Cricetulus griseus: one gene and its partner. The protein of the gene in region 2 purifies or fractionates together with the protein of the main gene of each other region. This does not show direct contact. Links are inferred from orthologs where the notes say so. Each region holds a gene or a part of one and is shown on either strand. Other genes may lie near its edges.

Evidence for each region.
Region 1: the proteins of Anapc1 (region 2) and Anapc16 purify together in Homo sapiens (co-immunoprecipitation; 5 studies listed by BioGRID and IntAct, with this or other methods). This does not show direct contact. The link is inferred for Cricetulus griseus from reciprocal best matches to the Homo sapiens genes ANAPC1 and ANAPC16.

The regions. Positions count from the first base shown.
Region 1 is NW_023276807.1:1,329,883-1,334,123, reverse strand, and holds the start of Anapc16 (anaphase-promoting complex subunit 16), read right to left. Parts: upstream 2,801-4,241; 5' UTR 2,650-2,800; intron 2,594-2,649; exon of another isoform or gene 2,440-2,593; intron 1-2,439. UniProt on the Homo sapiens protein: Component of the anaphase promoting complex/cyclosome (APC/C), a cell cycle-regulated E3 ubiquitin ligase that controls progression through mitosis and the G1 phase of the cell cycle.
Region 2 is NC_048599.1:49,873,523-49,878,512, reverse strand, and holds the start of Anapc1 (anaphase-promoting complex subunit 1), read right to left. Parts: upstream 3,324-4,990; 5' UTR 3,089-3,323; intron 1,946-3,088; 5' UTR 1,922-1,945; coding exon 1,709-1,921; intron 171-1,708; coding exon 9-170; intron 1-8. UniProt on the Homo sapiens protein: Component of the anaphase promoting complex/cyclosome (APC/C), a cell cycle-regulated E3 ubiquitin ligase that controls progression through mitosis and the G1 phase of the cell cycle.

The sequences.
Region 1 (4,241 bases), on a different chromosome or scaffold from region 2:
CAGCTTGAAACCAGCACAAGGTTAACTTTAAAAAAGCCATTTTCTGCTGAGATGCAGAGACATATCTGCAAGATGTCTGGTTCTAAAGATTTGCTTAAAGACTTTTTTTTTGTTTCTTCTTTTGTTGGTGCTGGTGGTGGAAGCCAGGGCCTGTGAATGTTCCACCCTGAGCTACACCTTCAGTCTCTAGTTTTGAATGCCATTAAGGGGGTAAACAGGAGTTAAGCTAACAACCCTAGATTGTAAATGCTAAGTATAGGGGTTAACTAAGTAATTAGTGTAACTCTTAAGTAGCCACTCATTTAAGTATGTTCACAGAGTGCTTATACAGTTCCACTGACTTCCTAAAGGTCATCCAAGTTTTGGAGCAATGGCTTCTTGATGTGCAGCTGTGCATGAGGGCAAGCTAGCACGGTGAAAGGACTGACTATGGGGGTTGAAGAGCTGGGTCAGAGGTTTTTAAAAGTGCTTGCAGCTCCTGCAGAGGACTGCAGTTAGGTTCCCAGTACCATGTTTGGTAGCTCACATTCCCCTGCAACTCCAGCTGTGGGGCAATCTGCTGGCTGCCTTCTTCTAGCCTCCTGCTCAAGAGTGTCTGTCTGTCTGTCTGTCTGTCTGTCTGTCTGTCTGTCTGTCTCTCTCTCTCTCTCTCTCTCTCTCTCTCTCTCTCACACACACACACACACACACACACACACACAGGCACGCAAATAAAAATAAATCTTTAAACATGAACTGACTATAACAAACTGCCTGCCTAGGTCTGTATCCTGGCTTTGCTATCTGCTGTGTGACTGGACAAACTGACTTTTTTATTCCTTAGATGCCTCACCTGTAAAATGGAATCAATACAAGTGCCTACCTTGTTAGTGTGTTATGAAGATGAAATTAATGTAGGCAAAGCAACTAGAACAGCTTCAGGCTTAGGAAAAACTACATCTTAGACAAAACACAAATCAGTAATAGGTATTGGCACTTTTTTTTTTTTTTTTTTTTTTTTTTTTTTTAAGGCTCTTGCTTTGTAGCCCAGACTGTCCTTCAGTTCCAGATCCCGATGGGCTGGCCTACTGAGTGTTGGAATTACAGGTATGCACCATTACACTCAGTTTTCCCTATGCACAGCCCAGTTTTTCATTCTTATTAAGTTCTAACACAGGAAAAGTTCAAATTCTCTTTGACATAGCTATGTTAAAACTCCTGGAAGGGAAGGGTCTGTCTGCTCAGGAGGCTGACAATGTTATCTTTTATGCACTTCACACATTCTACCCTCGGTCAGCATGTTCCCATGCTCACTTTGTTTATATCTTATTAAGAATCCTGGAGTGGGGATGGGAACATGGCTCAGTGGATGAATTGCTTGCACTGGGCAAGTTGGGAATCCCTTGAACTTACTTAAAAGCTTCCCAGATGGGGTAGCTGCCTGCCATCCCAGCACTTGGGAGTTAAAGATAAGCAATTCCCAATAGCAACATGGTTAGCTAGATTAGTGGGAATGGACACATACATGCTGGCTTCAGGGAAGCTATGAAAGCTATGTAGGAAGACATCAGATATCAGTTTCAAGTCTCCAGATGCACAGGTGCGCACACACATGTAAAAATCTAGCCTGTGATCCTGGGTCTGGAGATATTATAGTTCAGGGGCAGAGTGTCTGCTTACTATGTGTGAGGCTGTGAAAAGAATCCTGTCACTTGGAGAGCAGAACACAAATCACCTTTGTATCCTTGAGGCATCCCATAAAAAAACAAAAAACAAAATAAAACAAAACCCTTATCACAATGTTTCCTGGATGAAGGAGTGACTTATAAATAATAGAACAAGAGCTGGCAGTTCAGTAGACTGCAGGGGACAGATATGATTGGAGTCATGAAGGTCGGTCCATCCTGTTTTGTTTTTTTCTCACTGGGTGGAGTATGCAACTTTGCCTCCCAGGAGGCTGCTAGGCCCATAAGAGGCACTCTGTAAAATTTTGCTTAAATGCTGATGACTGAGTATCCAGGAACTTCAATGTATGAGAAGATGGGGCTGCTGACAGCGGGAAACGCTCATAGGAAAAGTAATGATCTTTGTGGGACACAATGTGGCTTGGTTAAATACTTACTTTGTGTACGACAGAGATGACCTTACACTCATAAATTACCCTCTGCTTATTTTCTTAAAAACAAACCAAAAGGGATCCTTCTTAAAAATTAAATCTCAGAATAAACCAGACGCTTAAGTCGATTCGGATCCAGTACAAAGGCTAATTATGACAACCGTTGGGTTCTACCAACAAATCATTCCAGTGTGTTCCACCTAAACAGATGGGTCACCACCCCAATCAAATAGCTGCAGCAACTCTAAGGGTGGAACGAAGAAGGAACAGGGCCGGGTCCGGGAGGAGTCAGCGCACTCGTCATGGCTACGCCACCTCCACCCAAGGTACTCGCTTCCCACCCAGCAACTCGGGAGGAAGCGAGAGGCTTGCGGCCGTCCCACTGCGCAGGCGCCCGCCCTCCGCGCGCACGCTCAGTTCGAGGCGCTCGCCTTTGCACACGCCCGGTGCGGGAGCGTCTCCCGGGTCTCTTGCCACCCTCTCTGTTAGTCCTGGCAGGTAGGATCGTCGGGCTCAACTCCCCACCGAAGGTTCTGGAAGCCTTGGCTACTTACCCGAGTAGTTTGTGCACTCTGCCTGGCAGCCCCGCCCCCTGGACCAAGCGGCGCGACTTCGTCTCACGACGACGTAGACGCGGCGTGCGCGTGCCCGCCCGCGCTGTGCGAGTCTTATGGCGGCGTGCGCCCGCCCCTGCGGCGGTGGGGGTTAGAGGGCGGCGCTATCGCGCATGCGTGGCGAGGGCGGGGCCGGAGCACTTACGGGGAGCACTTCCGGGCCTCCCGCACCCTTTCAGCTTCCGCGAGGGCTGCTGTTGCAAGTGTTTTCTGGTTCCTTCCTCCTGGCATAGGGGTTCTTTGTTTACTTTTATGATTATTGAGGACTTCAGCTTCTCCCGCGATAATTACACGAAGGCGCATATATATATTTATATATCCCTCTCCCAACCTCCATGACCCAGGGCTAGTCCTGGGTTTCCGTCCTTGTGCGCAGTCTCTCTGCCTGGAGCTGCCCAGGAAAGGTAGATGAGTATGCACCTCAGCCACCCCATGCTCAGGGCCCAAACGTTACCTTTTAAAGGCTGCTGTGGTACAGAGCTTGTGTTTTGAAGTGGGGGGGGGGAGATGCTGAAGGAATAGCACACCGGGGGGTCTTGTCATATGACTGCTGGTAATTGCATCCTCTCGTCAACGCTGACTTTCTCGGTTCTCCAAATCACAAACCCTCTCTCTTGGTTCTGTGCATGCGGCTACCCATTAGTGACTCGGCAGATGGCTGGACCAAGCATTTATGCCGAAGGGATTGTTATGTTTTCTTTGGCACTTTTAAGTACATGGGCTTGGAAGACCCAGCCATCTGTGATGGGAGCATGGGTTAGAGACTTCACCCACCGCTAGTTCATAAGGAGCCTTTGTTTCATAGCTATGTGATGCACAGATTGTTGGGCAGTGACCTCCAGAAACTGTTCCTTCTCACTGATGTGTTGGTCTAAGAATTACGTTAAGTGGTATTTTAGTACTTTGATAGGGAAATTAGATCTGGTTGTTAGTGCCTTTAAAAGTACTTACAACTCTTCCGTGGATGTTGTATGAATGATTCCTCATTGTATTTTTATATTGGATAGAAAGAACGAAGCACTTTGCCCGTGGTTAGGTAAATATCAAGACCGCACCCCCTTTAGGTTAATCAAATACCTATGGTCTCTCAAAGTCACTACTAATTCCTCTTATTGGAGGGCTGGTAAACAGATTACAAGTTGCTGTCTAGAGTGAGTCAGGAGGCTTAATAGGATGGTGGAAAATGCAATCTTTGCCTTTTAAAAGTTTATATACAATGGCAGGCCAGTGAAAATGACACTATTTTTGCTTAGGATGTGCTATGAACACAGTTATTTCCATTTGGGCTACATACTGGTCCACATGCAAGTTTTTTTTAATCTATTTTTTATTTTTAATAAAAATTTTAATCTATTTTTAATCTATTTCATTTATTTATTTTGTCTGTTTGTATGCTTCCTGGCTGCGTGTGTAGTTCAGAAGACAACCTGGTAGGAGTCAGTTTTCTCCTTCTACCATATGGGGTCGTCAGCCCTGGGAACAAGTGCCGTTACCGATTGAGCCATCTTACTGACCTAAGTTTTTATTTCTAA
Region 2 (4,990 bases):
GAGCTCACCTGCTGGACAGTGCTGTCCACTGTGAATGCTTTGTACACAGCCAGTGCCTGGCTTTTACTCCCTTTGCTCCAGATAACCATGTTCCCAGCCACATAGAGTTCTTCATCGAAGTCGGCTGCATCTCCAATCTCACTCACACCTTTTCTTAACTGCCAGCTTTCCTTAAAAATCAACACAAAGGACATGCTCACCACTTCCTCCTTTGTTTTCAAGAGACTGCAGTAAGATTTGCCTATGGGTTAAGACTCAACCCAACACTAAGTCCTAAAAAGACTATGGTACATGGATGAACAAAGTGGGTGAATTAGCAAAGTGGGTACATTAATTATATTAGGAGATTCTTGAGATAATTTTAGACAGGTGGGAGAAATGGCTCACAAGTCCAAGAGCACTGCTGCTCTTCCAGAGGACCCAGGTTTGATTCCCAGCACCTGACAGTCTTACAACTGTCTCTAAGAGATCTGATGCCCTCTTCTGGCCTCTGTGGGTACTGCATCCACATGGTGCATAGACATTTTTTAAACCAACTAAAATTTCTGTTATTTTATTTTATATTTCTGTCTCCTGTATTATTCTGCCAAAAACACAGGCAAGCAAAAAGTGTATCTTTCATATAGATCATAAAATAAAATCCATGCATGAAGGGAAACTAAAGGTATGTATTAAATATAATAGAGTAGAAAAGAGACAGTGACTCAACAGAGGACTTGATGCAGTGTAGACTTCCCTGCTTCAGACCTGAAAATACATTCATCTTCTTTCCCTTGTCCCACCCACCAGATAAATGGAAGATAGAAAGTTTCTGACTTTGAACTATGTGCACTCCAAGAGATTTGATTTCAAAGGCATATGAAGATTAAACAAGGCAGGAGAGAAGAGGCACAGCTCAGTGATAGAGTGTTTGCCTATCAAGACCATGACCTTGGCTTGGCCCCCAGTATAACCCAAAAAAAAAAAAAAAAAAATCAAGGCTGGGGGACACACAGAACTATTCTGTTCTGGTACTGCTGTTTCCTGACATACTTTTACATCTCACATCCATAATTAAGAACCACTAGTTCTCCAGGCATTGGGGCACACACCTGTATTGTCAGTACTCAGAAGACTGAGACAGAAGGATGAAAAGTTCAGGGTCAGTCTGGGCTTCTTAGTGAAGCCCCATCTAAAAATAAGATGCTACTCCTCCTCTAATATTCTTTTTTCTTTTTTTTTTTTTTTAGATTTTATTTATTTATTATGTATACAACATTCTGCTTCCATGTATATCTGCACACCAGATCTCATAACGGATGGTTGTGAGCCACCATGTGGCTGCTGGGAATTGAACTCAGGACCTCTGGAAGAGCAGTCAGTGCTCTTAACCTCTGAGCCATCTCTCCAGCCCCATCCTCTAATATTCTTATGTGACATCAGCCCCATTCTAGGAAAAAAGTGTGGGGCTACCACTTCTAATCTCTAACATCTAGTCATATCAAGTGAAAATAAAGTTTAACATGAGACATGATCACATTATTCAACCCTCATTACAAGTTATGAAGTATGACCCCGTAGGCAGCACGGGACTGAAACTAGCAAACATGAGCCTTTGAAGTCCAAGGGCCAACACATACTTCTCTCTCCTGTGCATCTAGGTAGCTTTAAATCACTAGTAGACTATTAATGCTATGTTTCAAGAGTATGATGGGAATCTTTATAAAACCTTCTGTTTCTCGTGGATTGTAACCTCCTGAAGAGACCCCACCAAGCCAGCTGCACCATCAGAGGACCATAATTCAGAGGCTGGCTGAAGCTGACGAAGCTGGAGGTTCAGAGCATTAGGGTGGTGCTTGCAGTGGTCGCGACCGAAAGGAACAAAGTCCTGCAAATCTCCGGCTGCAATCATCGTTGCCCTTTCTTCAGAGAAGTTCGACATGGGTTCCAAATATCAACATTATTTCTGTGTGGATCCAAACACATTCTCATCAGCCTTTGAGTCAAAACTAGTTTATTACTACTACAAAGACCTGGATGGAGCTATGTCAGAAACATGGCAGTCCACCTCACAAGCATTCTGTGGGGATGGCTAACATCCTAGCAGAGTACGTGAGGTGGGTGTCGGCTCTGTCTCTCAGAAAACCTCTGCAATAAAAATGGGTTTCTTGGCATTACGTTTAAATTGCAATCTCCAAACATGGCTCAAAACAAGCATTTGATATCAGCACTACAGCCAACTGCTAGTGTTTGAAATGGCACTCAAGATTAGCAATGTCTAACTAAATTTGACTTGAAGCTCTCATCTGAAGTTTTTATGGCATCAGTTTCAGGTATTTTGTTTTGTTTTTACAAACACCTCAGAGTCTGGTTTCTCTGAAGCCCTCTGCAACTACAAAGTCTTTTTTTGCTGTGAATTAAATGCCATCCTGAGATGGTTGTGTCCAAAAACAGGAGCAAGTTTCTTTTTCACCTCCTAGAAATAAATCAGTACTGAGAACAGCTCAATTTGAAACAGAACCACAAATGCCTTATAAAACGAATGTGAAATTCCAAAATGTGGCTGGCGTTTCCAAATTCTACTCAACAAAGTAGCCGACATTAAAGAACTGGCGACTTTATCCGACTTTTCCTTGTGCAATTATGTAATTTCACTCTCTTATAGCTTAAAACAAACCTACGGGATTATTACTTACAGCACCACTTTCGCAGTCTTTTAGCCCAAAGCATCGTATACTTTCATAGTTCTATCAAAATTAGTAACCGTGTTATTCATTACGGGCCACATAAAAGTCCTGAGCTGACATGCTATAAACAAAACTGTCATTACCGTTACTAGGAACATATGCAAACAGCGGAACCCAGAGCTTTGTCTCAACACAAACAGGCTTCCCCGTGCTTTTGAGTAACCAGCGCTGGGAGGTAGCGGCCCGCGATTCTGGCGCAGGGCGCATCCGGCGCGCCCCGGAAAGCCCAGTTTGAGACGAGGGCCTCCGTCACCCAAGCACACGTTCAGGGCTCGCCCCGAGGCGCTCAGCCCTCGGGTCACCGGGTGCAGCGAGGCCCCGACACCAGGTCCCAGCAATGCGCTACCCAGACGGGCCCGCACCTGAGTGACTCGGGACGCGTCAGGCGCTGGCGAGCCCCGGCTGCTCCCCGGAGGCGCAGGGGCCGCGGAGGCCCGAGAGCGGCGGCAGGTCGGTCACGATGGCTCCTCGGCCGCACAGCGTCTCATCCCTTATCCCTGGGCCGCAGCGGGGAACCGAAGACGGACAGACAGAACTCAAGTGGAAGTGTCCATCTTGGATTTCCCGTCCTGCCTCGCGCCAGGGCGGGACAACGCGGGGACGCGCGGCAGTAGGGAGGGCCTAGCGCCTGCGCGATTAAAGAAGGCGACTGTGCGAGCGCCTACAGTCGCATGACGTCACCTCCTGGCTAGACCAAGTCTCTTAAGACCCCGAACTGCTTTCTCAATTGTGTTAGGTTAGGTTATTTTTCGAGCTGGCTCTGTGTTCTCCTCGTCTCAAAAAGAGATGTGTGCCTCCCGATTAAAGAATGGCAGCGCAAGGGAAGCCGCTGGTTTCCTCAGGAATGCTGGGAAAGCACAGGAAATCGCTCACGCCCACCATAAATGGGTTCTAGTCGGGTAACTGCTTGGTATCTTCTGAGCTTAAACAAACAAACCAAAAAAAAAAAAAAAAGGTGGAGCCTCTCGGTGCCTAAAGAATAAAGTGCTAGTTCTTTGCCCAAAAACGCAGTTAGCTGAAATTTGATGCCTTCACTGTAATTGTCTATTGTGACACACACCCTGATGTTTTAGTGCCTTTTCATTTCTTGGAATGCCATCGTTCAGAGCTTGAGGCTGTATTCCAACAGGAGGGAGTTTCCCTTAGAATTTGGTGAGTAGAATGTCTGTTTAACTGAGTATTCAAAATATGCTCTCCCAGCATCACAAGTATTCCTTACAGCGTCCAGGCCCCTCCGCCAACACCACCACCCCTGCACCCTATCCTAAAACTCTCCAGCTCCTAAGCTTCAATTCGCTTCCCTTTGCTTGGGTATTCAAAAGCAGTCAAATTAACAATTATATTCCACATGCTTTGCTCCAATTCTTTATCCCTTCCCGCAAAGCCCGATCATCCTACAAAGTTCTTTCTACCCTCAACAGGGCTTTCTGGAAGAACCAATAGAAGAGCACACACTTAAGTTGCCTCTCGGAGGCTCATTGCTTCCATTCTCCAACTCCTCTACCTCTTGCCCCACCTCAGTCTGCCAGCCTATTAACAGTCACTTGAAATAGAAGGGCACCCACTCTCCAAGATGCTGTGTGGAACCAGGCCAGTGTCATATACCTTGAGACAGTGGTATTTTCTACCACTGCCAGACCTGGATGAAAAGTCCCCCTGGGGGATATGGGAATTGGCTTCTAAAGAGCCCATACATGAAAACTCAAAATGGTAGGGAGCAAACTGGTCAATGAACAAAAATGAGGACATGACTGTACAGTTGAGGAGAAGGGTTTTTGTATTTTGTTTTTTTTTTTTTCCTGGTTTTTTGAGACAGGGTTTCTCTGTGGCTTTGGAGGCTGTCCTGAAACTAGCTCTTGTGGACCAGGCTGTCAAACTTACAGAGATCTGCCTGCCTCTGCCTCCTGAGTGCTGGGATTAAAGGCGTGCACCACCAACTTTCAGCTAGAGGAGAAGGTTTTTATTATAGAGATGGAGGGAGAGAATACAGCCAGAGGCATCTGGAAGAGTCTAGACTGAACATGGCCAATAGCATAGACCTGACCATGAGAGGAGGGGTGGGGGGCAAGAGATAAAAAGAGAAGAGAGAAGGCAAGAAGACCAAGAGAGATCCAAGAGCAGAGCCAAGAGGACATGGAGAGAAACAAGAGAACAAGGATCAGTAGAGAAGCCAAGGACCAAAAGACCTCATGGCCAAAATGACTGGGTTATATAGGAAAGGAGGAGGATGAGGAAGAAGCAGCAGCAGCTGGGGGAAGGGAATC